Styela clava: one gene and its partners. The protein of the gene in region 1 purifies or fractionates together with the protein of each later gene. This does not show direct contact. Links are inferred from orthologs where the notes say so. Each region holds a gene or a part of one and is shown in the gene's direction. Other genes may lie near its edges. The genes, in order: AP-2 complex subunit mu, ralBP1-associated Eps domain-containing protein 1-like, protein numb homolog and AP-1 complex subunit gamma-1-like.

Region 1 (7,548 bases):
ACTACCAAATAGCTAAACTCCGTTTTTTAAAAAAAATAAACCCTAATCGCCAATACAAACACAAACTATCGAAGTGCATTTTGAAGCATATGGACGGAGAAGTTGTTACTTACTGTATGAAAATGAAATAGATCGCCTGACTTTATAAGTTTATATGAATGATCAAAGCATAAATACATATTAGAACGTAGGGATACTAGCGTTTAAAAACGGCACATACCGTTTGACATAGGAACATAACACCAAAGTAAGAGAATAGCACTTTTACATCATGAGTAATATGAAATTACACGACCAGCGGTCGACGGGCTGTGAGTGATAAACATTCAGATACACACTATGATTGGCTACAACCTGAACTAAACGGTCGAGTTAAATTATCAATTTTCGGGATAAAATTTCCAGCACCTTGTTAGATGCCTTTTTAAATTTTCTTATTTATCCGTGTTTTAATCCCACGATTTATTTTCTATAAATTTGACCATTGCGATATGTTGTTAAACGTTGAATAAAGTCAAGTGGAAGTGACGTCACACGCAATGTGAACACTGATTTTCAGGTTCAAACAGTTACCAAAGTTATGCATTTGCACATAGGTCTTTACTTAATGTCAAATTTTTATGAACTGAATCGGTTCAGTATAGAGCAGGAATGGCCAACCCTCGGCTCGCGAGCCGCATGCGGCCCTTGCTGCGGTTTCATGCGGCTCTTTCCGTCTTGTTTTTTTATTTTGGAAAAAATATCTTGCAAACTACGATCATGCTGCGATTTAACAGAAATATTATGATTCATCGTGCATTCTCTTTATGATGAAACCAACTGAAATGTGCTTTAGGGTGAGGGACTATTGAGTTATGGAAAAGTATGTCAATGGAAAAATACCTCAATGTCGCACGAGTTGCGCCCAGAATATTGTCAATGTTTGGGTCAACATACATCCTTCGCCATTTTTTAGCACATATGGACCTTCGACATATGTGCAAATTGAATAACTTAGCAGGCAATTTGTTTCAAAAACCACGCGGTTTCAAAAAGATGGGGTTTAGTATACTAAAGTAAGTGTACTTTTTATTGCAGTTGGTCAAATATATTAAAAAAAAAACATTCTCGAAAACATCCGCATCATAAGCATAGATAAAGTATAGGGAGAGTTTTTATTGCGGTTTAAAGTCGGGTGGCTACCTTACATTGCAAAGTTTAAGCGTTTTTCCTACTGAACATATTATTGGACACGGTGTGTACATATAAATAAATGTTTTGTTATTACGTTGTTGCTTTTGTTGGACACCCAGTGGTCTTCTTATGGATTGTTTTGTTATTGTTGATCTCCTCGTTAGTATTCAGAAGCTTTTCTCAATAGCTACTGGACCAATTGCTTTGAAATTTTCAGCGGTTGAAGATTGTATTTTTCGCTAGAAGATTATTTATTTATTTTAAAAATTTCTGTGGCTTCTGATGCAATTTGTTTTTGTGTACGATAACCTTCTCAAAATCAAAAATTGCGCTCCTTGTGGCGGTTCCGCTTTCGCGGTTGTCAAATGGTACCTGTAGGCTACATTGTTATCGACACCTTAATGGTAGACTACCGTGACAGACTGCATACCTATACTATTTCGTGTCCGTTTATTTGATCATATCGTTCTCTTGTTTTTTTCCTGTTTTTCTTCGAAAAATCGATTTAACTTCAATTACAAGATCAATCGCTTTGAAATTTTCAGTGGTTGAATATTGTATTTTACTATTACTGCTATTACTTTTATTAATTTTAAAAATGTCTGCGGGATTCAATTTTTGTGTGCCATGACGTCATCAGAAATCGCGCACTTCAATCATCGCTCTTTTGTTAAAATATTTATTGCTTGTTGTTACGACGACTGTACAGTATTATTAATAAATAATAAATTTCACTTTCTCTTCAGACAAATAGAATTATTATCTAAGCTTTCTCAAGCTTTAAACTTTTGATCCTGTGCAATGAGATAAATTTATCTATGAAAAAAACAACTATTTTGATCGATTTATCATCTTGGGCATGTATTATGTTCTTAGCGTGCTTTTTACTATTTACAATTGTTTCTAAACGGTTGGATGAATCAAAATTAGGGATGAATTAACAAAAACATTGCACTTGTCAACGACAATTTATATATCAAACTTTTGACAGAATTTAATGAAAGATTTTGGCAGTTTACTAAAATACTGAGTAGAAATGTTTATGGACGGTTGAACGATTTTCCGGAAATCAATCGCCTTTCGGGTTATCACTAGTGGTCGCTATAGCATTAAAGTTTGCATGTTTGTCAAAAGTAAACTTTCGGCGTGTCCGCCCACCTGATTTCGTCCGTCTTCCGTTTGTCAATTTTGTTGAGAGTCTATAATCCGGTTTTGTTAGGCTTGTTATTGCTGATTGCCTGCATAGTGTCTAGAGTAGACTATTTTACTTGTAAGTGAAATGATTATTGACACACGCGAAATGAGTACCGGTACCGGAAGCGGTCGACCCACAAACAGACAAAAACAGAAAGATTAATGAAACGTTACCGTACCGTACCGGTACGTACCGTAATGAGTTGCAAATTCTGAAATTGTACACCGACTCTGTGACAGAGTTCAACGATACGGTACCTGTATGGAAGTACATATATAACAGATCTATGATCTATCATAGATAGATTTTGACCTGTATCGGTATATTTCTATGCTATATGGGAATCTCAGACCCAAAATTTACAGAATTCGAGATCAGCTTTATTTATATATATTTACTGTAAGGCTAATCCTGGCGATTTCTCAGCTACCATAATCGTATACAAACATTTGAAACATCTATCAGAGACGGAGGAGGTCGTTGGGATTCTATTACATTTAATTTTATCTACCTGAATTTTGCTGTCTTATTTCAAGCACAACACTTATTTTACTCCATGTAAATTATCCACTGATTCAAGCAATTATTTGGCTTTTATCATTTTAAATTGAGTTATAAGCACTGCCCGGTTTTGAATCGTGTCCATATTTTTTGTATAATCGTATTATTTCTATTTTATTTTTTGGTGGGTGGGCACGTACTTGTACGTTTTTTAACTTTATTTTAAGTTATGCTCGCCTTCCAGGTATCTCTGTATTTGTTGTCTGTTTACTTTTTTGTATTGTTCCGTTTTAGTCAGAGAGACGAAATAAAATGATTGATTGATTGCCCGAACTGTCTAACTTAACTCAATACAGCAATACTGTAAATTTAAGACTTACGGTCGTAAACGTACAGTAGGTCAGACGGTATCGGTACAAGATCATATTGCAGTAATGGAAATTGATTCTGTTATTCCAGTACAGCAGTTTTCTCATTTTTTTTTACTCATTGGTTACCCGACAGACGGTAGGCTACAGTACGGCCAGACTGGATTCCATGGCGGGTGCACGCCCGAGGGCGCTAGCGCTGCGCAAAAATGCACGCGAGCGAATTCAATTTTGCACGCCGAAAATTTGCAATTGTTCACCAATGTAAATCGGTTTAAATTGTTTTAAAATCAATAATCCAGTAATATAAAGATGCCAAAATATTATAACTCCACAATTGTCGACTAATACTAGCTTGCAAAATTTGGTCTGATCGAAAAATGCGAAGCAAAAAAGACCATATCGTGTTGAATGATAGGAATCCCGTGAGAACAGTTATGGACGAAAAGATCGCCCCCGCACCAACGCTGGCCAGGTACGGCTCTGATTTAGCGTATTTTTCATACAATAATTTTACACGAATGTACTGAACAGTACCGGTATTTAAAGTCGAACAAACACTCTCAAAATTAGTGACGGAGTATAAAAATACTGTTTGGGGTCAACGGTCAAACGGCCAATTTTGCTCTAATTTGCACTCCCAAAATTAATGACAAAGTATGTCCATTTTTCTCTGGTTCAACGTATTTTTTATTCAATAATTTTACGCGGATGTACTGAACAGTACCGGTATCCAATATCGCACAAACACTCTCAAAATTAGCGACAAACTGTAGAAAAAAATGTTTGGGGTTAAAGGTCAAACGTCCATTTTTGATCTGATTCAACGTAATTTTTATCCGATACCGAACGGTGATGTATTGAGAGGTATCTAATGTCAAAGTCAGTTGCACGCGGGCGCAGTTGTTTTGCACGCCGTGAGCTATAATTGCAGAGCCATTATATAATGGCTCTGATAATTGCACGCCAGGGATTCTTATTTGCACGCGGGAATTTCTGATTGCACGCCCGATTTCTCGTTCAAAAAGGCCATGAAATCCAGACTGGCAGTACGGTCCTGTATACAATTCGGTATCTCTGTCTGTGGTTATATCCAAATGCTGAAATGCAGAAATGGGTGTGAATTTGTAGTACCGTACTGCTGTACTGTGCGTTACTGAACTAAGCTTCAGTTTCTCTAATCGGAAAGTCTGACAGTGGTTATGTTCCAATATCTAGAAATGGGAAGCAATCACCTAATTCATGTATTCACCTAATTCATGTATTATATTCATTTAAATTTTTTCCGATTCTTTCATTGAAAGCTAGTGAACTATTTAAACTGCTATGTTCTTATAAAAGTAGGGAAACTGAATATTTCTGTCTGAAGCGTTTGAGGCCTCTGGCCTGGTCAAACCACCAAAATGATCGGTGGTCTTTTCCTTTACAATCACAAGGGAGAAGTTCTCATATCGAGGATATATCGTGATGATATCGGGTATGTTGTTCTTTATGACCATTGATTGCAGATTTTATAACTTTTGCACTTCTATATATATTATACTATGTGTATGTTTACAGAGTGTTATTAATAACAGCCTATTATGTCAAAGTTCTTATTGAAAAATTTGATTCAGAATTTGGATCTGGAGTCCCAGAGTCCAAATATTCTACAAGTAGGAGCGAGAGTCAATTTTTCTCTACTGGGAAACTTAGCCAAATTTTTTTTATCCTCGAGTCAAAAGTCAATTGTAAAAATTTCCAGACTCCATATCCCTGCTTACAATCGCATGAACGCTCCCAGTCCAGAAAAGCCAATAGCTATTTTTGAAGTAATCTGAATTTATAGACTCTCCCTAATTGTGAGGCGCGGTTACGGCAGCAAAATTTTACCTGCCATTGGTTTTCAATTTGCTGCCGCGGTAACGGCAGCTCGACATTGGTTTGTGGCAGCTAAAAAGTCAGTCGCCATAGGTTTGGCCGTAGCGGCCATGATATGGAAATACCGCCATGGTTTTGTGGCAGCTGCAGACGCCATGGAATACTTAAAACTGCACTTGCTAATTGTAGTATTTCATTGTTCTGACATACAATGTAATATTTTACAGGCGGAACGCGTGTGATGCTTTTCGTGTCAATGTTATTCATGCAAGACAGCAAGTGCGATCACCTGTTACCAATATAGCACGGACAAGTTTCTTTCATACAAAACGAGGAAATATATGGCTATGTGCTGTAAGAATTTATTGTAGAAATCACAGTATTTTTTTACTTCAACAAGGAATGCTTTACTGCTGTGTTTCAGGATTCATTTTTAGGGGAATGAAAATTATAAGACTGATCAATATTATGGTGTATCTATATCAAAAATCAATAACTATGATTTTTAAGCTAACCCATTTTTTGGAGACTTTCCTAAATGGATTTATTAAAATATTGGAAAACATAATATATGTTACAATATAGTCAACCAAGAGCAATTTAACCAGATATATAAATTTGATTCTATTTCGATACTTTCCTGATTCTCTCAAATACCTTGTGGAATTACTTATAGTACCTCTAGTAAACAATTTCGCACTGATAAATGGTATAAAGACTGTTCAAAATAGTCCAAAAATAACACATTTTTATATAGCTTTAGTAACATTTGAGGTAGGCTATATGTTATTTGGTGGGAAATGGATTTGCTTTTGTTAGCTATGACCCTAATGCTGATTTTCTTTACGATTTTTCCAAAAATTCTATCGCGTTTAGAAACCAAGCTCTCTAGAAAGTATACAATTAAACAACGCTTTCATTTTTCAGGTAACAAAGCAAAATGTCAACGCTGTTCTTGTTTTTGAATTTCTTCTTAAAATGATCGATGTTATGCAAAGTTATTTTGGAAAAATCAATGAAGAAAATATCAAAAACAATTTTGTTTTGATATACGAACTTCTAGATGGTTAGTGTACATAGACCATAGCTTCTCTTTTATTTATCAACTTAGAAGATCCTGAGTTTGAACATCCCAGTATTTTATCAGCTTATCATGCCCAATACCTCATTCTCAACCCTCCGACCGTTTGGTAGATAGACCTCAGCTCGAACCTTAGATCTCAAGTGTGCAGCGTTCAGTAGAGAGAGAGGGAGAGAGATTTGTTTTTCGTCGATCAAAATAAAATACCAGTCATCGTAATAATAAAAATAATACCAAGTGATAAATTAGTTTGGTATGTATAGACAGGAATCAATGTCAACTCCCCACTTCACACTATTATGTTTAAGATTCACAATTTCAGATGACAAATTATTAAGGTAGAACATTCCAAAGTTTGAAATTATATTCACAAAATGGGAGAATAAAATTGGGGAGTGGAATGCTAGAGTAAATCATTCTTATTTGTATATGTGGAATGGGGTTCCAAAGTTGAAAGAGATTTCAAAGGGTTTCCAAAGTAGTTTCTAATTTCATAGCTGCGAGTCTAGTTACGACCCATGAGTTATCTGTGCCATCAAGTCGAGTCCTGGAGTCAAGATGATTGCTGAGTTAATTCTCACAGGCGGTCAGCTGATGACAAGTTTGAATTTTTTCATTTAGATGACTCGACTTTGAGTCTTTGATAAATATTCAATCAATCCAACTCCAGTTGAGTATTTGATGAAGGTTGACTCAATGCAATGCCAACTTACTGAAGCCAATACCAATGTTAAGATTTGAATTTAACAGCACTTGAATCGTAAAAAGCCTATTTCTAACAATCAAGCTAATGGAGATGCATATTAGATTAGCTTTAAAATGTTTCACATTTACAGTATTTGAAATTGCAAATGGATTTTTTTTTATCAATGAATTTTACCTATTACAGAGGTTTTGGACTTCGGATATCCGCAGAAGACTGATACTGGAATATTAAAGACATTTATTACGCAACAAGGAATCAAAACTCAGGTTATTATGTTATTTATGATCTTTAATAACATTTTGTAAAAAGCTTTAAGTTATTTTCATTTTAAATAAAGAACTAAGATGATTTTTAAAATCTCTAATTCAGTTGAAATGAATGTGTCATTGATGCAATTTGTATTCTGAAGGGATTAATAATTTTCACTGACACTTGGTATTTCTAATTTAAAATTTGTTCAAATTTTATTAAGAAAAGTTTTAATTTTCGAAATTGATTGAATTTGAACTTTATTGCTGTAATTATGTGTGATGACTAACTCTTGTTTCTTTTGACATTGTGCAAATCTTAATAAAATAAGGTTGTAACTGCATTGTCTGGAAAGGTAATTTAATAATTCTAATGTGATGTCCAGATGTCTGTTCGTATTTTTTACCGTATTGTT
Region 2 (7,756 bases), on another chromosome or scaffold:
TTTTATCAAAATGTTTATATTTGTCTAGATTCTAGAATATATACAATGCCACACAGGATAGAAAAAGGAATCAAAACCATAGTAGAAAAATATTTTCCAAGTAACAAAACAATGGCAATATCGATCTGTGCAAACCAAAAGATATGGGAGGATATGATTTACTGGACATGCCTATATTTGTGAAATGCATGTATGTCATGAAGGCATTTGAATATTTTAATTAGGATAGGGTTTACATTTTTATCTCGAGGGAGAGGAAAGCCGATAAGACGACCTAATCATATGGCGAACCACGGCCACTCGTCCGGTTACCAGGTCAGGTATGGGATTAGTTAGCCAGTTATTTGTTTTCGGAAGCATAGACTTGAAGTTAGATTGTTGACTTATAGGACTGTGTACGTTTAAATTTTCAAACGTTATTATTATTGAATGCTTTGAATGAGCACCTTTAAATATAATAAAATTCTTATACATCACAGTAACACTTAAATATTCATGAATGTGAGCTTAGTAGTCTATGGTCGCAGTACCGGTACGGTAGTCTAAACCAGTGCTCCGCAACCTTTTTTAACTCGCGGCGGACTTATAAAACTTGCCAAATTTGACGGCACACCACAACAAACGAAAAATACAAGGTGTAACTTTGTTTTATGTTCATATAACAATGAGAGATTTGTGGTTGTTTTATTGAGCACAATCGCTCTATATTAGAACCATTACGTGACGCGCAATCAATTTTGCAACACGATAACTAGCTTTTAATGCTTTTTCTGAGACTGTAAAAGACGACTTCACAAGGCACTCTTGCTTCTTATTTTGACTTAACAACCGCTGGAAATAATTTATATTTTTGCGTGCATGAACGGCAAGTTTCGTATTTAAGTGGCGCATAAGTTTACTCGAAAACATTGCTTCATTTGAAAGTTGCTCCCCCCAAATAACCCAGACTGGTTTTGGAGCATCTCCGTTACCACAGCAAGAAAATCCATATTTGACGTAATCTTCCCTGTATTTCCTTTTGACAAGTTTTTTTTTCCAACGTTGCTTGTGCTAGGTACAATATGTTGCTCAGTATCAGCTGTTGTTTTAAAAAATGTATCCATTTTGCAAAACTTTAACGTTCCTTGGCTTTTTTAATCAAAGACCACTGGGCACTGATTCTGCAAATTTCCCCTTTTTTGATTCGATTACTACACGTGATATGTTTTAGCAGGGTTGCCAGACCCCAGCGATCAAAAAAAGCCAAATCAAGACATAAAAAAAGCCAACAATTTTACTAAGTACAAAAGCCCCATGATTTAAGCCCTTGGCAACGTACTGATGATGATATAGACTATAGAGCCATTAGTTCATTCAGTGAGGCACACGAATAGAAAGTAAAGTTTCTATACAACTGTAGAAAGTAAAATAAATATCGAGCGGACAGCATTATTTTACCATTCAATATATACAATACAGGGTGCCGCTTCAGTCTGTCAGTATGTAATATACCTACATGTTTCTACTTGAACTTGTGATATATCTTAAAAAAACTCTCCCTATATCGTACTCTACTATTGAAAATTTTTTCACTTCCAAAATTTATAAACCATCAATTTTATTAAAAAGTTATCTAACCCCCTGCCGCTCATAGGTGTACCACTGATATCTTATTCAGTAATTTTAGCGTAGTTAATCACATCGTTACTGCAATTGCAGAATTAAACTAAAGCTCACATAAACCATATCAGGCATAATGAAAATTGAGTTATACAACTATTTTTTGGAAATAGAACGTAAAACTGACAAATAACACGCAAAACTATAAAAACGAGACAATGTTTACAACCCTGCTTGAACATCTGTCTGAGCAGCTGCAGAAACTGCAATTGTTTCTTATTGGGTATGGGTAAGAGTCAATGTAACAAACAAGGAAATCGATGCTCCAGGAAATCCTAAAGTTAAGTAGCTAAGTACAGGTAATAGGCTATTGTTCAGTTGTTACACACCAAATATTGTATTTCATATAATATTAATAATAGACACTAGAATAGACTTGAAAAAAGCCAAAAAAACGCCAAACGGAAATTCTGACGCCAAACGCGTTTGAAAAAAGCCAAAAATGGCAAATTCGGCGTTAAAAAAGCCAATATGGCAACCCCGTGTTTTAGCCTCGACAATAGGCTTTACAATATACGTACTTGTCATATAGGCCTACTCCTTGTTACGTCACAAATGCACAGTGGGGGGGTGTCAGGAATTTGAATTGATGTCGCTCAAGCTAACGTAAAAGCAGGTTAACTTTACGTTAGTAGCGTAGAGTGGTAGACTAACGCAAAATTAACTAAAGATAAAAAATAATTTGTAAAAAGAAGTTTTAAGGAGTGTAATATCGACATTTTTAGGGTTTCAATGTTGAGAAAAATACATTAATATTTCCTAGACAGCATTTTTATGTGTGCTAGACCGCATTTTTATGCGTATAAGTGACTTATTTTGCTCATTTGATATGAATATATCCTACAGGTATAGTCTACAGACGAAACTGGGGTCCGTCTGTTGTAACGTTTGCGAAGTCAGACTGCTGACTTATAGGACTGTGTGCGTTTGAATTTTATTTGTTTGTTTTCAATACATACTTTTAAATATATTAAAATGTTTATACATGACAATAACACATATATATATATATTCATGAATACGAGCTTAGAGCTTCTAAACTCGACTGTCGAGCAATCGCTGTGCGAGGTTACGATATCGATGCTCGAGAGGCAGAATAGGCACTGTCGCTGCGCCTGGCAAAGAAACTGTTTTGAAACATGAATATGGGATTCCGTTTTTTGATACGAATGAGGGATTTTATTCGATTTTTATTTTGCTATGAACATTTAGTATACTTATTCTTTGCGATACTGTGGTATGTGGTACATCTTTGAGGTTGGGCACCTCCAACAAGTATCTTTTATACATCGTTTTTATACATTAACTGTGGAATTTAATACTGTATTTGTGGGGAGCTGACTCTGATGGCATTATGGTCGTATTGCACCTCCCAGTCTGTACCGAATTTAACTTGTGTATTTCGTATATATTGTGTGTATCATTGCTTGTTTTCTGGTGGACGAAACAATAAATATCTCTCTCTTCGAGGACGGGATTCGGCATATAACCATCCGTCTGTAAAAAGCCCCCCTACACACGTACCTTCTTGGTGTGCAAGCTGAGGTTCAAAGTCGGCGATAGCGGAGACGCAAGCCGAGATTACAGCTCTGCTGTCGCCGAGCTCAGATTTCATATAATGACATCTCCAACCTCACAAAATCTTTCACTCAAACGCATTTTTGTTTTAGGGAATAAGATACCTAATTAAGCACGTTATGGCTTTAGCCTATGCCAGAAACAGGCGATGTTACAACATAAAGACCCAGGATCACATTTCGAAGGTTTAATTTTTTATAAAAGATGCGATGGTGAATGATGCACGACATTTAATTTTCCCTACAGGAAAACAACTAGTTTTTCTGTCGAAGGCAGAAACTTGGTTGGCAAGTACGGTAGCTGTGTTGTATATATTTACGGTTGTATGACTCTCGGGAATTGATTTTGTAACCTCTCAGAGCTCATTTTCTGCCTGTCATTGGGATTGCTCGACTGGTGATTTGAGTTCTCTTGTGATCTGTAGTCGAGTTGTCTGCCTCTCGAGTATCAATATCGTGACCTCGCAGAGCGATTGCTCGACTGATGGGTTGGCTGCCACTCATGGCTCTACATATTTACCCCCCGGGATAAATATGTAAATCTTATCCTAACGTTACTCCAATTTCATCTGTAGACTGTATTTCTATTCATATACCATGAGAAAAATAAGCCACTTTTGAAAATTAAAATGCTTTCTAGAGAATATTTATGTATTTTTCTCAACATTTGTGCCCTAAAAATATCAAAATCACATTTCTATAGACCTAACCAACGACTAACATGCCGACCTAACCTAAAACATCGCCGTAGAAAATGCGGAAAGACAGACAACTCACCAGGCCTCTCTGTAGTCGAGTTGCCTCTGGTGAGTTGTCCGTGTAGTCGAGTTGTCCGCCTCCCTCTGTATCTATGATCTGTTTGGGTGTCAATATTATAGTACAGTTTTAAGGTACGGTACGGTACCGCAGTGCCACTACTGGCAAAAAAAAGTGCCAGTACTGGTATGATTCCGCTCTGCAGCTTATATCTGTATATAGTGTCTTTTTAAAAAAACAAAAACAAATTATGTACCGTCCAGCAGTAATTTGCATCACATTTTTGTTTTGCTTTATTTGGGCAGTTACCGGTACCGGTACGATACCGGTACCGGTATGGCGTTTCAGCGTTTAGTCTAACTTACTGTACCGGTACGGTAGGCATACCTCGCGAATACCGTATTTCTGTATTCGATACCGGTATTGCCTGTCCTTCATAGTTGACGATGCTAAGGCAGTGAGGTCTCCCTTCGCCCTAAAACTGTAAAATTTCGTTTTTTATTTCACTCCACTCTGCAGCTCTGTTCTGTGTAATAATGTACACTGGCTGTTTTTTTTTTCAGTACTGCAGTATGTGTGAAAAAGTAGTCCAACTGCATTTGGATTTTGAAAATCAATCTAGAAATCCCTAAAACCATCCATCCACCCTGTATATTGTAGAATAGACTACTGCATTATATTGATTCACCTAGTCTAGTACCGTACTGTAGTAGTTAACCTATTCCAATATCTGTACCGGTACCATATATCAGTATATTCAGATATCAGAAATTTCTATCTATGACTTTGTAAATAGTATCATCGATGATAAAAAAGACGATTCAATGATCTGTCCTTTTTTATTCAGGAAATAAAATTATCAGGTCTCAAACATATTTTTTGCACATTTTTCTGTAATTTTTCCAATGCTAGGTTGTCAGTATATCTGCATACAGGTATATCACAGGGTCCACAGGCTTTTCGGCCTATAGATTTTCAGTCCAGAAGTTTTGGCCTTTTTTGCCATGAGGTAGCATAATACAGTAATATGGTTTAAGTCAGGGGTGTGCAACCTTTAATAAGAGCAGGCCAGATACAAATGACTGGGTGAAACCGCGGGTCGCACTTTTATTTAACAGACTGCGTAGGCTTTCTAGTAGTTCCAGACACAAAAAATTTAGTTATTGATCTTATGACATGGGTTGTTCGCTTCGCTCAAGCTAGCTGCTACAGTGCTAGGGCATTGCAACATCATGTGCATGGAAAATAAATTGGACTCAGGTAGGCTATAGTCTTGGAATTACTCACATGTACCATATTAAACTAAATTAAAAACTCATTTTGCAGGCCACACAACTTTTCCTTGGGGGTCGCATTCTGATTGTTTGATTTTCTGTGCATACCAAATGCTCCCAATTTGTGCATTTTTTTTTTAATTGAATGTGCTTATCTGGATAATATATTTAAACCTAATATTTATATTTTTGAGAAAAATATATAAATTGCTTGAGTACCTATCATAGTTATTAACAAAAGTTTTAATGACTACTGGAACACCACGACAGGCATTTTTGAAGTCTCAAACAGAAGGTGGAAAAGCATGGATGAGTTTTGAAGAAAGTCCGATTCATTCTGCACCACCTAAAGAAATTCCTCGTTCTGTCGTTAGGCAGGATGAAGGATGGACTTCATTTTCCGAGTCAGCTGTAATATCTGTCAATCAAGCTGGCCCTCTTATTGCTTCTCCTGCACCTGCCAGTTATACTACTCAGTCACGGCCAGATGTAATCCCATCATTGCATCAAGGAATCCAGCCTTCAACAAGGTTGAATGATGAGCCTGTTTCTAGTCGAACTGGAATTGGATTAGATCTTACCCACAATGCAAGTCAAGCTCATCCAGCAGCCAGTCACAGAATTACGCACCCCGGTACACAACCTCTTTTAATTACGCATGGGCCTGGTAGTACAATTAGTCATATTCTGAGAAATCAATCTTCTGACAACGATAATGACTCTTCGTTTTTAGCGGACAGCCATGATAAAATGGCTAACTTAGCTGGCAATGACGAAGTTTTAGACTCTCACAATAAAATAAATTCTTCACAGCAAAAACATATAGAAAGCCACCAGTCCTTGCAAAAACGCCCTTCTGGTGATGCATACTATGCTACTGACAGCAGAAGAACTGAAAATGTTACGCATGATCCTTGGTATGTCACAGAAGAACAAGGATTTTATTACAGGAATCAATTTGAATCGATGCAACCTCAACTTCATGGTAAAATAGATGGTCAAACTGCCCGTAATTTCTTCACAAAATCAAGACTTCCAATCCCAGAACTTTCTCATATCTGGGAATTGTGTGACATGGACCAAGATGGTCATTTAACACTTCTTGAGTTTTGCGCAGCTTTCCATCTTGTAGTTGCGCGCAAAAATGGATATGAACTGCCAGCTGTCTTGCCTAAGACCTTGTTACCCCCTTTAATGAAAATGTGTGGCATTGGAGAAGTAAATCAATCTTTTAGTAACATGAATGTAATCTCAACAGATACACCTGATGGTAAAAGAACGTCTGAAATAAAACCTACTGAAAGGCCATTGTATGAATCGGTTGATGGTGAAAAGTTACAACCAACTCAAGCGCCTATGAAACCTGCGAAAAATCTTGCGGAAAAGCCTGGAATTCAGCCTCAAATAACTCATGTAAAACGAGAAGATAACAAAACTCACTGGAATCTTGAAAAATGGGAAACATTCAGTGACCGAACTTCAAGTTCAACGAATCTTGCAAATTTTGACCAATCATTAGATCATGCTGATAACTCGGGTATAGTTCACCCAGTAGCACTTAGAGTCACCCCTTCAAAACACGAAATGCACACTGCAAAAATGAGCTCAAAAGTCTCATCTAAAAGTACTGATGATGAAGACCATCATGCACAAGGTCTGGTAGTTCCACCCTCGCACAAATCATTAACAAATCCTTATGGTTCATTGAAGAATGATACATCAGAACCTGATAGTCATGCCAGTCCCAGAAGGCGTTCGTCTTCTAATTCATCACATTCATCAACAGGGACCAGTGATAGGTCACTTACCGAAACTGATAAAAAACCAACACGCAACCCATCATCTGATCAAGAATACCAAAGTGATTGGTCATCTCGGCCTCTTCAACCTAGATCTGGCTCAGATTCTTCAATGGAAAGTTCATCGATGGAAACAAGTGTAATATTGCGAGATAATGTTAACATTGCTCCAACTCCGCCACCAAGACCAACACAACTAGCACGAGAAGCAGCACATACTAAAGTTTTATCAGATTCCACAAAAACTCAAGTTCCTGGTCCAACTCCACCTCCGAGACCTCACACTCAACAGCAACCAATTGTTACAGAATCTGCAGCCTCTCAGTCGGAAGAATTTGCTGATTTTAGTCAATTTGAAAATAGTCGACAAATTGAGGAATCAGTTTCACCTAATCGTCATTCCCCAGCATCTGCAACTGCACATTCTAATAAGCAAGAAGGTAAAGATATTGAGACTCCGAACACAAAGCCCACCCCTGCACCAAGGCACAGTCAGGTTGAAAAACAAAGCAGGGCAAAAGATGAAAAATCTCCGGAAAAGGCAACAAATAAAAAAGGATATTCCGCACCCACAAAACCACCAAGAACTCGTATACAAAGCGCAGACTTATCAATCGCCCCTGATCGTCACACAAAACTCATGAAATCGAACAGTGTAGCGACAGGATCCAGTGACATACCTATTATAATA
Region 3 (6,856 bases), on another chromosome or scaffold:
CGAACACTTATGTCAATAGTAGTTACTATACACACGTTATGTCTAATTGAATATAGTCTACCTTCATTTTAAATATAAATAAAAGAGGAATACTGTTTTTAGGGTATACTAGGAACTAGATATTAAATGCAAGCATGAAATTATATTACATTTGTTATAGAGGTAATTGATAAGCAATAAAACGGAAATAAAAAACAATTGCACTTTCTTACATTGGCGTCTAGGTAGGCTGTGTGTGTACCTCGAACAGCAATCTTTATACCTTCATTTTGGTGATAGAATGAACAGACAGAATGAAAATCCGGAGAGACGGATTTTAAAATATTTGAATGCTTGCATTTATTCTTCCACATTATTCGATGAAATCGTAAACTGCAAAAGAATCTCACATTTCGCTTATCGTAAAATGAATGTAATTGTTTTCAACATTAAATAATATGATCATGATCAACATTTTGCTTTTCGAACTGATTTACAGATCACCTGTGCTTTTAATAGTGTGATGTTCTACATGAAGATTTGAATCGATTTTACCAATTGGATTTAGATCGATTTTAACAAATATGTTTGATTATTAATTAATGTTCAAACTTTAGAAAGAAAAGAACAGAAATATTACCTAGAAAATATCTATCAATTTGAATTTATAATAATTGACTTTGACATTATAAGCTAATAATATGCTATGTCTAATAATAATATATGGCTCGCAAATCTATTATCTACTCGCACGGTGTGTCGTAAATGTCGTGTCCCACTTTGCTCTGGGACAAGTGGGACACGACATTTTTGAAACACCCCATTCCGAATGAAACGACGGTAACGAAATAATAAGTTCGTATTTTCAGCATGATGAAGAAATAAATTATCCATTTTCCATATCCATATTCATTTTTACATATTAGAAGCAGAAGTTCAGAAATTTCAGGTAAATTTACTTTCGTTTCTGTTAGACTCAATCACGGGTGTCGCTGCTCGATAACCAGTATTGGTTTCTTGCGCTCTCCTGAAATAACAGTTTTGTTTCTTTTTACATTCTGTACTCTCGAAGTGTATTTCATGTATAAATAAACTAATAATTACAGCTCAACAATGCTTGTCAGTTGCCAATAAATATATTTATGTAAAAAAAAAAAATGAAATCCCTTTTTACATTCAGATTCTAGTCACTTTCTTCTTGGACAAATTCACACTTATGCTTCCTTATACGTATATACTTACAACATCAATATTACGAAAAGAAATAAAATGATGAAATGAATAATAATAAAGTCATTCTTATACTGCAAATTCAATGTGTCAGCCCTGGGCAGTGGCCTCCAACTTGGGTTCCACAGAAAAGATTATTGTGGATAGGAAAAATTATTTATTGCTATTTATTTGGGTTAAAAAAGTCACACTGCGTGTTCTTGAGCAGATTATCTATACATACAAGTAGATCCCATTTTCTATTCGACGCCTCATGTCCTTCGACCCGATATCTAACTGAGATCCAACTATGTGCGAACGGCCACTACATCATCCATCGCATTTTTGCGCGCAGTTTTCTCGCGAAGTTTTGTGTATTGGTGAAAGTCACTCTTGCATAACAGTAATGGGCATACTACAGCCCGCGGGCCAAATCCGGCCCGTTGGGTAATCCAATCTGGCCCGCCTGATGCTGCCACAACCAAACTAAAACCAAATTTTGATGTTTTAGCTACAAAATAGCGCAAGGAATTTGCTGAGATTGTGATTACATTTGCGCGAAGCTTATTGTTTTCCACTTTTGCTTTTGAATATTGTGCATAGAATGTAACTTTCTACGTCACACTTACTAGCCCGCTAGTATAGGTGGGGAAATTTTTGACACCAGTCCAAAAACCTTCCCTACCCCTGGCTTAAACGTTAATTTATTTCGAATTTTCTCACAACGTTATCAATACTTTTAAAGCCGCATACAGGGTGTAAATAAAGTTACTTTACAATTTCAATTTTGTTGTGAACTCAGTTCTTAATACATATCTATATATCTTAACCAGGTTTGTTATTTTTTATTCATCAGTTACTTCATTTAATAGTGTATATTTACGATTTAATACATCTGTGAGGGCCAAAACAATATATGATATATCGATAAATTCCTCTTTCAATTTAAAAAGAAATTATCACTTCATGGGCATCCTGTAAATATATACTTTCTGATGTGAAGGGAAACAAGAGAGCTATGCTCAAATATATGGACACGTAGGCACCCAATGGCAATAATTTTGATGACGTCATAGCGAAAAAAAAAGTAATAGCCTTCTGGAGAAAAATTTTATCTTCAACCACTGAAAATTTCAAAGCAATTGGTCCAGTATTCGAAGAGAAAAGCGACTTTTTAAAAACGTGTCAAAGAACAAGAACAACAACAAGGATAACAAGAACAACAACAACATAATATTGAAACGATCGTTATGTCCACTACGTGTCCAATAATGGCTCCACTTTTTTAAACCAACTTGGATGTTTCTCTAACGTTAAAACCCTCGAAATTTGTTGGTTTATAATAGCCTACTTTTGCGCATATAAATCACGAAAGGTTGTATGTAAAACGTTCGCCAATAAAATGACAGTCGTCTTGATAGTTTTGTAAAAAGTGTCGAAGATAAGAAGTTCAGAAGAGTTAAGACTGGTAATATGAGGTGATTTAAGTTTATAAATGCCGGGAACGATCACGTAGGATTGGGAGGTGGGATTTGGCACGTATAATTCGAGTGGAGATTTTGTATGGGATTAGAAATGAGAAATTCATGAAAAGGTTGCTTGATGCTTAGCTGTCGCGGGGGGGACGTGATAGCTATTTGGTTAAGTGGAGGAAGGAGGAATATAATATAAAATTATAAACGGTCATTTATATTTTATGCTACCAATTATGGTGCCTCGCAATCTAAAATGTATTCGACAATCGTCCATGCGCCTGGAACGAATCGCTGGCTAACTATTCCAATACTCGGAGTTGGCTGGTAACCGGACGAGGGTTCAAGGTTCGTCATATGATTAAGCTTTCTAGTTGGCTTACTTCCCCAAAGAGTATACATGACCGCCGAAACAAATATGAAATTCTATCCAAACTTTTTACTCTCTGGCGTCACAATGTGACAGCAATTTGCATTCTAAAAATCCAAACTACAAATGGGAATGACGTCACTTCGTTCTCCCTGCGGTCGCGTATGGAAAAAGATTCTGAAATTACTACAGTACGGTACCGAAACTCTCAAAAACTATGTATTTAAAATAAAATGATTTGATTCAAAATATTAATACGAAAATTCCGTTTGGCATTGGAATTTATTTGGCGAAAAAGGGGGTCCCGGTACGGTACCGGTACCGGTAGGATACTACCGTAACTGACAATATTCTGACAGTCAGGTACCGGTACGGTCTGACGGTGGTACCGTATGTTGCATTAACAGACTCAGACTGAAGTTGCAAAGCTGGGAGCACAATTACTGAATTAACTTACTGACTTAAGCCCTACCAGTCAGCCAGTAGTCTAATCAGAATAATATTGTTCTTGTTGTTGTTTTAATGTAAAAGTGACAGCTTCGACAGTCCAGCAATCTGACAGTTGATTTTCAGCAAATTTCTGCATTAGGCTATTTGTCTTCTGGTCTGCTTTTGAAAAATGAAGTCCTGAAGTTAGTGATTTGGATAGCTAGATAAACATTTTTATGCTTTGAGTAAATTTTGTAGAAAGATAAACCAGCGTAAGTCAGTAAGTTGGATTACTGTATTACATGATCAAATACATGAATTCAACTCATTTTCCATCCTTATAACAGTATAATGTCTGAATGTCAGTTTATTTCATGCTTCGTAGATTAAAATTTTTGATGTTATATTTTTGTAGCATTGGTCGCTCAACTAGCCTATCATGTTTTCCAAATAAAAAATAGATAATAAGACTCCATTGTCTGAAAAAGGCTGAACGTGTAAGGGAAATATCTTATACTACAGTACTATTGGAATTATTTAAACACTATAAAAATCACTATGATGCGGTCAATTCGGAATAGTTTTCGAAGGAAGAAGAAACCAAAAGTTCCAGAAAGTACTCAACCACCTGAATGGCAACAGGATGAAAAATCTGTACAGACTGGAACTTGTAAATTTCATGTTAAGGTAGATAATATAAACTTTCTGAATGTGTGTGTATTAATATAAGGGTTTCAAGAAAACAACGTCAAATGTTAAAATAGAGAAAAAAACATTTTTTTAAAAAAAATTCTAAGAAATAATGTGAATGCTTTTTACTGTTTCAAGCTGGCTCTAATCAAAGTTCAAAGAAAAAGGTATTTAATGAAAAGAGGAGTTTGAAATTAAAAAATGAATGTTTTCTTCATTTTCTAATGACCTTTTTTTTTCAAATTTTTTATTTTCGGGTTGAAGCTCTTGCCTAGTAGATTTGTCAGCCTGAAATAATATATTTTATAGCTTATTGTAACACTGATAGATGTTCGTTTCATTGTTGATATACTGCATTCAAATTTTATTACAACTACGGTAAATTTTCAAGTTTTATAGATAGATAGATTTTATTTTGATTCATTCGCAAAAAAATAAAACAATACACAAAAAAGAGAAAGGCGAAGAATCTGGAAATTGAACAAAACCTAAAAATAAATTTATAACATATTAAACGAGTTCGTTCACTCACCGAAGAAGAAAGAAAACAAATCACAACAAACACAAACAAATAAACATCAATACAAATGATTGGTCAATATTCAGGCTTCTAACTTCATAATCAAATTACCTGAAATTATTTACAAACAAAATAGTGAACTGAATAGTGGATATGTGTGCGATGTGTGAGATGGTGTGTAAACAAACAACCGAACAAATTGTTTCCAGATGAAAATGTGTGAACCTATGCCAAATCAGCTATATATAACGTCTACACAATGATGCGAACATCGATTGTCATCGAGATACTTCAGCCTCTATTGTATTCTACCACAATTTGGTCTACCACTCTTGTAGCATCACCAAACAGTTCGATCAGCACAAAATATATGACAGTGATTTGTTGTAAGATTAAAATTATGCGAAACAAAAACAATAACAACACAGGAAAAATTGTTCTATTTTATACCTATATTCCAACTTTATTTGGTAAAAACTTGTTTTGTCCCTTTATTCAAATCTGTAATTAGTCTGTATCAAACAACAGCATGAGCTTTTTTTTATTAGGGACAAATTGGTAATACTTGATATCAGTCAATTACTCATAAATACAAAATCTATATTCACACATAATTGTTTTAATCAGTTGTGTTAAATTTATCTAGCAGCATATTTAATATCAACAAATCAGTGATTTAAAATTGTGGATGGTTTTTAATAGAAGATTTATTGGAAGAAACTGATGATTATAGACACTTTACCGGACAGTGATGCATAATAATTTATTTAGTGTTATGTATTGAAAAGTGGGCAGTAAATAGAAAATGAAAGATGAATAGCGAAAATTCCTAAATCTGCATCATCTGGTTATTTTTTTTTTTTTTTCTCTCTTCAGTATCTTGGATGTATTGAGGTTCAAGACTCAAGAGGAATGCAAGTTTGTGAACAAGCAGTGAAAAGTCTAAAAGCGGTGAGACTTTATTTAATTTCATTTGCTAATTTTTGTATCAGTGTTCATGTACATGTTAAAAATTTTGTGGCTATGATATATATCAGTATAAATTGTGTTTCTTTTATGTTTGTTGTTAGTTCTGTACGGCAAATGAAGGTTTGCAATTAGCTTCAGTAAAAAATTGGATTTTTTTTTTATCAAATATCATTATAATGAAAAATTGATATTTTTGCAATATAATGAGTGTAGCATATTCATATGCCGTTTGTCTGGTTAAACATCAAAATACCTACCTGTGCACTTATAATACAATTATTGCTTATTAGATCACGAGTCTATTGCAAATTAGGTTGTGTATTTTTGTTACACAACTGACAGTTAATTTATGTTAGTTGGCAAATCAAGCTGTATATATCAATTTATCAATGTCAAATATGAAATTTTAGTGTGCTTCAAACAATGGTTCATATCGGGATTAAATATAGACAGTCGGAAGTGCGGTTATCCTGTGTTTTAACATTGTGGTGCTAATGTATCATCCTTATGACGTTAATTCTTTATTGTTTGTTTATTTTTCCTTTCTAATTCAAAGACGTTTTCCTATAGATTCAGGATGCGATAAGAATTTTTCCTCGGGCAATTGAATGCTTCTGGCGTAATCAAAGCAATCATGATATTGTGGGTTCATGCATAATATTTTTACGACATTATAACAAGCATAACATAGAAAATCTGTTTTGTGACCTTTGGCTTAGTTTCAAACATATCCCACTGGAAAAAGCATAATTAAACCGTGCTTTACATACAAATGAGCTCTCCTATTGATTGATAATGAAGCTATGTTCAGGATAAGATTCCCCAGTGCACGAACTTATTAAAGCTCTTAAGTTTGTAAATAATTATTCCCTTGACTGATGGAATTATGTGTATTATCGACTATTCCCCATCCAAGTGTTGGTGACTTAATATAAGTATGATTAAGTTAATGAAACATATAAATTTTTAATTTTCAAATGTACCCAGTAATGTCCAGTAATTTAAAATCGTTAATTCATTTCGACGTAATAGGGGTCTCACAGATGGACCAAAAAGGCCTGCATATTATGATTTTTAATAATTCAAATCAAACAAATTCAAATTACTGTTTATCTACTATTCCCCTGTATTTCCAAAACAAACTCATTAAGTATGCATGTATTGACTTTTTTGTTTATTGGTTGAATATTTAAAATGTATTCGGTATGCTAATATGTA
Region 4 (7,598 bases), about 5.0 Mb from region 1:
TTAAATTTTGTCGCAAACGTGTACTAGTCAATATTCTCAACGCACGATTTTGTAAAACACTGATTCGATTCAGATAAGTCTTAGAAGCAGAGCCCCATGCCACAATTCCATATTGAAGATGAGTGTAGAAAAGCGAAAAATAAACAGTTCTTAAAACTCTTTTAGGTACAAGATGTTTCAATTTGGTCATAGCACCAAGGGCTCTTGACAGCTTACGAGCGAGCTGATCAATGTGAATTTGCCAATTTAGTTTGTGATCTAGGTTGACTCCTAGGTACTTCACAGAATCATATGTAGTCAATATCGAATTATTTAGGGTAAATTTTGGAGTTATGTTAGAGGATTCAAGACTTTTGGCACAATTAATTAACAAGACTTGTGTCTTAGCAGGATTCACAGTAAGTTTGTTTAGAGTGAGCCAGTTAGAAATATTCAGCAAGTTTGCATTGACTTTATTTTCCAAGTCAGGCAGATTTTTTGCTGCAGACGTAGAACTTGTGTCATCAGCGAAAAGTTTTATTGAGGCATTGGTAGCGTTTACGATATCGTTAATATGTATTAAAAATAAAGTTGGTCCAAGAACCGACCCTTGCGGAACTCCAACTGAGACTTTTCCACTCAGTGAGGCAGAACCACCTAATGACACATATTGATTTCTGTCATGCAAATAACTCGCAAACAATTTATTCACAACTCCGCGAATACCATAGTGACTTAATTTGGTAATCAAAATGCTGTGATCGACAGTATCAAACGCTTTTTTAAGGTCCAGAAATACGCTACAACCTACTGAGCCTTCATCTATAATGTTATAGTACTGACTGACAATGTCTATTATTGCATGGGAAGTGCTATGTTCATTACGAAAACCAAACTGGTCATTATTTAGTACTGAATGTTTATCTAAGAAGGATTTTAATCTAACTAGTAATAATTTTTCAAAAAGAATAGCAAGACATGATAATATTGAAATAGGGCGATAATTTGATACTTCACACTTATTTCCAGATTTAAATACGGGCACAACTCTGGCTACTTTCAAATGGCAGGGAAAAATTCCTAGAGACATTGAAGCATTAAAAAGTCTACATAAAACAGGGCTAATGATATTTTTTAGAACTTTCAAAAGGTTGATTGGTATACGATCATGACCTTCTGCCTTACCATTAGTAAGAGAATTTATATGCGTTTCAATCTCAGAAGGAAGGGTGTCCTCCAGATACATAGATGACTTATTTGGCCGTTTTAAATAATTGAAAAAGTCGTGACTATTACATCATACTATACAATATAGACCGGTATGAGTGAAATGTTAGGTGAACTTGTTAACCCTTTGAATCAATACGCAAATAAAAGTGATTGAGCAATAGTACGTTACAGCAATGCGTATATATCCTCATTGGTTAGAAAAATCTAAATGGAGATGCATGAACTATTTGAAACCATAAGGGGTAATTAAATATGCAATTTCAGCAAATGGGCAACTACGTACCGTACTGAATTAATAACTTCGTAGTATTTGAAAAAGCTTAACAGTGCGATGCCCGGGTGTGATATACAAAAATAGTATTTACCTTACCTTTTTCCGATTTCTTTTTAACTTAACTTTCCAAAATATCATTAAAATCGACAACAACTGTCAAAGCAAGCACTAACATCATTCGTGCTATGCCTTGAAAGCAGCACACATCCGCTCGTTTTCGTCTCGTCAAGTATGTGCATTGGAGCGTGTTATCGATTACGATCTTCGGCCAAAAATGCCGGAGTTGCGCATCATGTTGTTTAATGTCATTGCTCATACTAAACGAAATCAGGGGAGCAGGTGTGTTCATGCTTGAATGAAAATTTTTCCCACTGGGTGGAGCTACGTGTTCATATATTTGAGCATAGCTCTCTTGTTAACTAATCCCGTACCCGACATGAACTGGTAACAGGACGAAAGGCCGTGGTTCGCCGTGAGCTTAAGGCGCCTTATCGATTTTTTCTTACCGAAATAATTATGAAAATCCTATTAATGCTAATCCGGACAATGGCAAAATAACGCTATGACGTCATCAGTTACGGTACCGGGAAATTCTGAAGGTGTGGGGTTTCGTGTTTGCCTGCTATAATGAGTTTCTATTCATCGGCCTGATTTTAGATTTGTGTGAAATGGGAAATATGATTAATGGATTCTAAGATATATGCAGATGACTGAGAACTCTTGAGCATATTTTTATATTTAGACAACTGTATAACAAAATTTTATCATTTTAAGTTTTGTTACTGTTAGGCTAGGGTTGAGGTTGAGCCAAAATTCTGGGATTGTTGATTACAGGATTACGGCTTTCAGGCTTTACAGTACGGTACTGCAGTACCCAATCACTGAATCAGTAATTTATTTTTTCACATACCGAATATACGAAAGTATACAAACAATAAGGTAAAATATAAAATAATGTATTTCAGCATGAAGGGAGACGCGATAAATCAGTCATGGTTATCGAGCAAGAAGAGTAAGAAAGATTTATTGCCACAAAACGCGGGTCTCGCGTAGTTTAGTACCTAACGTGCTTCTAGTGGGCGTAGCATAACAATTATTTGATATGTCAATCCTAACCCCCACCTGATTACGCCATCCAAAAATTAAATTGCTACGACATCACAATCACGTCATAGAGCTTGCCAAATATACGCACGATCGACCAACATGGCATTGGCGCCGGCGATAAAGAACTGACTGACGTTATCGGTCTCTCTCCTATTGGAATCGTTGCGACGAGAAAACGAGAGAGATAACTTTTCGATTTCGGGTGCTCGTTTGCGCGTCTTGGATGGCAGTTCGTATAGTTTGAAGGGCTCTATTATGTCACTGTGACGTCGTAATGACGTTATTTTTGAATGATGTAGTCAGGTTGGGGTTAGGATTGATACGTGAAAAAATTGACATTCTACGCCCACTAGAAGTATGTTAGGTAAGAAACTACATGAGACCCCAAAACGCCACCTTTGAGGAAGTGTAACATAGCATCATAAAAAACTGCGCCACCTTTAAGGGAGTCTAACATAGAATCATGAAAAACGGGAGAAGGAAGCCGAACAATATTTAATTGGCCATTTAGGTGCGTTACGTTATTTAACAAAAATTGGCCATTTATGTGCGTTACGTTTAAGCGACCTGGGGTTTCGATTACAATACAATTTTATTTCGATCTTTTGTCTACAACACAGAACACAACTAAAAAAACACAGACAATGGCGACAGGAAAATGGGAAAAACCTATATACAGTACAGCACACTATCCAAATTCCAAGAATTTCCCTCCATTTGGCTCAATAAATCAAACGCTCTATGTGTCTCACAAACAAGGGGCGTCTGGACCACATCAGATGCTTCATATCGCGCCATGCTTGTTTCAATAATAATCTTAATATATCGCGGACGTCACATGACCAAAGTTGCCGTTTTTTGCTGAAAACTCTCGAATGCTATGGTAACATTTTTTTTCTTTGGTAAATCGGAGGGACAACAATGTCCAGACGTCCACCAAAGGAGGGGTGTCTGATCATCTGTAAAATTGGTTTCTCTGAAACGGGACAATGTCACTCGATTTGTATAGTGTGCCGTACTGATATAAAGGTTTATAACGATCGCTGTACTGTAACCAGTGTTTGTGCCCATTTACTCACACTCATCGAACAAGTGAAAATACATCACGATAATCATACAATCATACTAGGATAAATTCATGAACGTGCATGAACACGAGAAAATAAAATTCATGAGCAAAGCTTGCTTGTAAAGTTGTAAAAAATTTGAATGAGTGAAATTCATGAAGAATTGAAGAAACAATTGAAAATTATATTACCGTGCCTGTGTAGAAATATGAATACCAATAGAGAGAGAGAGAGTAATAGCGATATACACATAATATTTACCGGTAACAAATTGCTGAATTTAGTGAAGTTTAATTGGTTAGCTGCTTCTTTTTATAAACAAACAAAGCTAAAAAGCAAACATAAAAACTAGTTTCGGGCGATCGCCCGAAATGACATCTGCTCCGCCGATAATGAACTTGCTAAAGCCGGCGATCTCTCTCCTATAGTGATCGTTGTGACGAGAAAGATTGCTTGCTCGATTTCGGGTGATCGTCTGTGCGTTTTGGACGAGCATCAGCATACTTCGGTGGGCCTTATTACGGCACTGTGACGTCGAAATGAGGTAATTTTTCGGTGACGTAGTCAAGTGGGGATTAGGATTGACATATGCAAAAATTGTTGAGCCAGGTCAACTAAGTACATGTGGTACTAAACTATACCAGACCCGAAGATACAACGGAAAGTCATTGAAGTAGTCCATCCCCATATCACAGCTGCTTTATTATTCATTTAATGAATCTGTAAACTCCTGAATGCTATGATACAAGCAGTTGGCCACAGTTTGTAATCAAACTGTCAAATGCAAAGTTGGGTATATTTATATATGGGTATGGACAAGAAGCTATGAATTTCCACGTAGTTTAGCCCTGTTATTGTATTTCCTCTCCCCCTGGATAAATATGAAAATTTTATCCGTAACAGACACCTGTTTTTACTTCATGTGTTTTAGATCTCACAATTAGGTTAAACATTTATTTGTATCACAATGTTTGCAAATGTAACGACACATACACCTATCAGGCTGAGAGATTTGATTCGCAATATTCGAGCTTGTAAAACTGCTGCGGAGGAGCGTGCTGTTATCAATAAAGAATGTGCAGACATCCGTAACGGATTCCGCGACACTGATACCACGTTTCGTTGCCGTAATGTAGCAAAATTATTATATATTTACATGCTTGGATTTCCTGCTCATTTTGGCCAGTTGGAAACGATGAAATTACTCCCTAGTTCACGATTTACTGATAAAAGAATTGGATATCTTGGTGTAATGTTGCTTTTGGATGAAAATCGAGAAGTCCAGCTTCTTATGACGAATTCATTGAAGAATGATCTTGACCATTCAAGTCAGTACGTTGTCAGTTTAGCTCTCTGCGCTCTTGGAAGTGTCGGATCAGCAGAGATGGCTCGAGATCTTGCACCTGATGTTGAAAAGTTAATGAGAAATTCTAACGGATATATCAAGAAGAAAGCTGTTCTTTGTGCATGTAGAATCGTTCGAAAAGTACCAGAATTGATGGAAAATTTTATCCCGTTGACGAAGTCGTGTTTGAACGATAAAAACCATGGAGTTGCCTTGGCAACTGTGTCCTTGATCACAGAAATGTGTAGAGCGAGTCCAGCGGTTTTGAAAAGTTTAAAAAAGCTGTGCCCGACTCTCGTGCGGATTTTGAAGAATTTAATCATGTCTGGATACTCGCCAGAGCATGATGTTTCTGGAATTAGTGACCCATTTTTGCAAGTTCGTATTTTACGATTGTTAAGAATCCTTGGATCACACGACGGCGAAGCTAGCGAGATTATGAACGATATATTGGCTCAAGTTGCGACGAATACTGAAACTAGTAAAAACGTTGGGAATGCAATTTTATATGAAACGGTCCTCACAATCATGGATATCAAATCTGAAAGTGGACTGAGAGTTCTTGCCGTCAACATTCTGGGCCGATTTCTTCTCAACAATGATAAAAATATCCGCTATGTAGCGTTGAATTCTCTTCTGAGGACAGTCCACACGGATATGAACGCTGTGCAGCGCCATCGCACCACTGTTCTTGATTGTTTAAAAGATCCGGACCCTTCGATTTTGCGTCGTGCAATGGAGTTGTGCTTTGCTCTTGTGAATAGCCATAATGTTAGAGGAACTGTTAGAGAGTTACTTGCGTTTTTGACCCGTTGCCCTCCAGATTTCAAGTCCGACTGTGCGTCAGGAATCTTTCTAGCTGCGGAAAAATTCGCTCCTAACCGTCGCTGGCATATTGATACGATGTTGAAAGTTCTCACGACCGCTGGTAATTATGTTAGAGACGACACCGTTCCAAGTTTGATACATCTGCTATCTGATAGTGATAAATTACATTCCTACGCCGTTAATTCTCTTCTAAATGCAGCAAAAATGCCTGAAAATATTGACCAGCAGCCTTTAGTTCAAGTTTTATCCTGGTGTCTTGGAGAATATGGAGACGAGTTAGCTGAAGGGCATCATGATTCTGGAGATGTAATTGAGCCAGTCTCTGGCGACCAGATTTTAGATTTTCTTGATGACACTATTGAAAGTTCATTATCGAATCCCGTAACAAAAGCGTATGCTATTAATGCAATAATGAAGCTCAGTGCACGAATACCAGGCATAGAATCTAGAGTTCGTCAAATTATTGAGCGCTTTGGAGTTTCACACAGCACCGAGGTACAGCAGAGAGCTGTGGAATATTGTGCACTCTTGGATAAGCATCATAATCTATGTGCTGGTGTTTTAGAATCGATGCCGAAATTTGAAAAGCCGCCGGCGGAATCGATCGAAAGAGAATCTGAAACAAATTATGGGGAGGAATTGGAAGACAGAGAAACGGAACAAAATGTGGCAACAGTGAAAGAAGCAGCAGCACCACAAAGCAATATTGATTTATTGTTAGATTTAGTCGATTTGAATAATTCCGCAGCATCGGACACGCCCATTGTCCCGCCCATGGGTGGGGCCCCTATACAACCAATACTTCCGATGAGTAATTCTCTTAATCTCCTCGATGACATCATGGGGTCTCCCCCACCCGCTATGCCAAATACGAACGGGATTATGGGTTCAGCCCCACCGCCAGCAATTAACGGGTTAGCAGGGCTAATGCTTGGTGACCCGGCTCCTGTTGCCACAAATTTCATTCCAGAAATGACAGCGTTTGAAAAAGGAGGTTTGAAAGTTATTTTTTACTTCGATAGGAAGCCAGGAGACTCAGTGCTTTCCATCAATGTCAAAACAAGTAACCAGACCCCATCTGAAATTTCGGATTATGTATTCCAAGCAGCGTTACCGAAGCAGCTACAACTCCAGATGTTGTCGCCATCAGGAAACGTGGTTCCACCGAACAGTGGTGGCACTATAGAACAGCCAATCAAAATTAACAACCCAGGAAAAGTGCCGTTGAGAATGAGGCTACGAATCTCATATACGATCAACGGACAACCTGTTACTGAAATGGGGGAAGTGAATAATTTTCCTGCTGCTTCATGGCAGTAGAGAGTTTCAAGTGGGCTCATTGCCCCCCTCAAAAGTGTATTATCACAAACTAAAACTGTCCCGAAAATGGGCTTTGTTGAAACTATCAAGATCATATATTTATATAGTTATATTTGAATTTAGACCAATTATGATGTAATAATATAATGTTCCCGCACCAACAAATTTTGTCAATCAGGCCTTGGCATATGGGGTAGTTAATAATCCTGGGTTTGCATTTTCTTCTTATTGTACTCGGAATGGTATATTATGGAATTATATTCGATATTTAAAATTCTTGGTTTTCTGATATATTATAGGGTCCTTAAAGTCTCAAAATTTTTTTAAACTGCAAAGGGAATTTATCGATACCATATTGTTTTGGCCCTCACAGATGTATTAAATGAGGTAAAAATGATTGAAAAACAACAATCCTGGTTAAGATATATTGAGAACCAACTTCATATCA

The links.
Region 2: the proteins of AP-2 complex subunit mu (region 1) and ralBP1-associated Eps domain-containing protein 1-like purify together in Homo sapiens (affinity purification with mass spectrometry; 3 studies listed by BioGRID and IntAct, counting the BioPlex papers as one, with this or other methods). This does not show direct contact. The link is inferred for Styela clava from reciprocal best matches to the Homo sapiens genes AP2M1 and REPS1.
Region 3: the proteins of AP-2 complex subunit mu (region 1) and protein numb homolog purify together in Homo sapiens (affinity purification with mass spectrometry; 3 studies listed by BioGRID and IntAct, counting the BioPlex papers as one, with this or other methods). This does not show direct contact. The link is inferred for Styela clava from reciprocal best matches to the Homo sapiens genes AP2M1 and NUMB.
Region 4: the proteins of AP-2 complex subunit mu (region 1) and AP-1 complex subunit gamma-1-like purify together in Homo sapiens (affinity purification with mass spectrometry; 3 studies listed by BioGRID and IntAct, counting the BioPlex papers as one, with this or other methods). This does not show direct contact. The link is inferred for Styela clava from reciprocal best matches to the Homo sapiens genes AP2M1 and AP1G1.

The regions. Positions count from the first base shown.
Region 1 is NC_135263.1:5,962,840-5,970,387, forward strand, and holds the start of AP-2 complex subunit mu, read left to right. Parts: upstream 1-4,539; 5' UTR 4,540-4,640; coding exon 4,641-4,714; intron 4,715-5,324; coding exon 5,325-5,451; intron 5,452-6,024; coding exon 6,025-6,163; intron 6,164-7,067; coding exon 7,068-7,150; intron 7,151-7,464; coding exon 7,465-7,488; intron 7,489-7,548.
Region 2 is NC_135259.1:15,707,110-15,714,865, reverse strand, and holds the start of ralBP1-associated Eps domain-containing protein 1-like, read left to right. Parts: upstream 1-4,746; 5' UTR 4,747-5,512; coding exon 5,513-7,756. UniProt on the Homo sapiens protein: May coordinate the cellular actions of activated EGF receptors and Ral-GTPases.
Region 3 is NC_135258.1:8,272,853-8,279,708, reverse strand, and holds the start of protein numb homolog, read left to right. Parts: upstream 1-3,856; 5' UTR 3,857-4,017; coding exon 4,018-4,146; intron 4,147-5,545; coding exon 5,546-5,620; intron 5,621-6,856. UniProt on the Homo sapiens protein: Regulates clathrin-mediated receptor endocytosis. Plays a role in the process of neurogenesis.
Region 4 is NC_135263.1:918,262-925,859, reverse strand, and holds the start of AP-1 complex subunit gamma-1-like, read left to right. Parts: upstream 1-4,572; 5' UTR 4,573-4,624; coding exon 4,625-7,150; 3' UTR 7,151-7,598. UniProt on the Homo sapiens protein: Subunit of clathrin-associated adaptor protein complex 1 that plays a role in protein sorting in the late-Golgi/trans-Golgi network (TGN) and/or endosomes.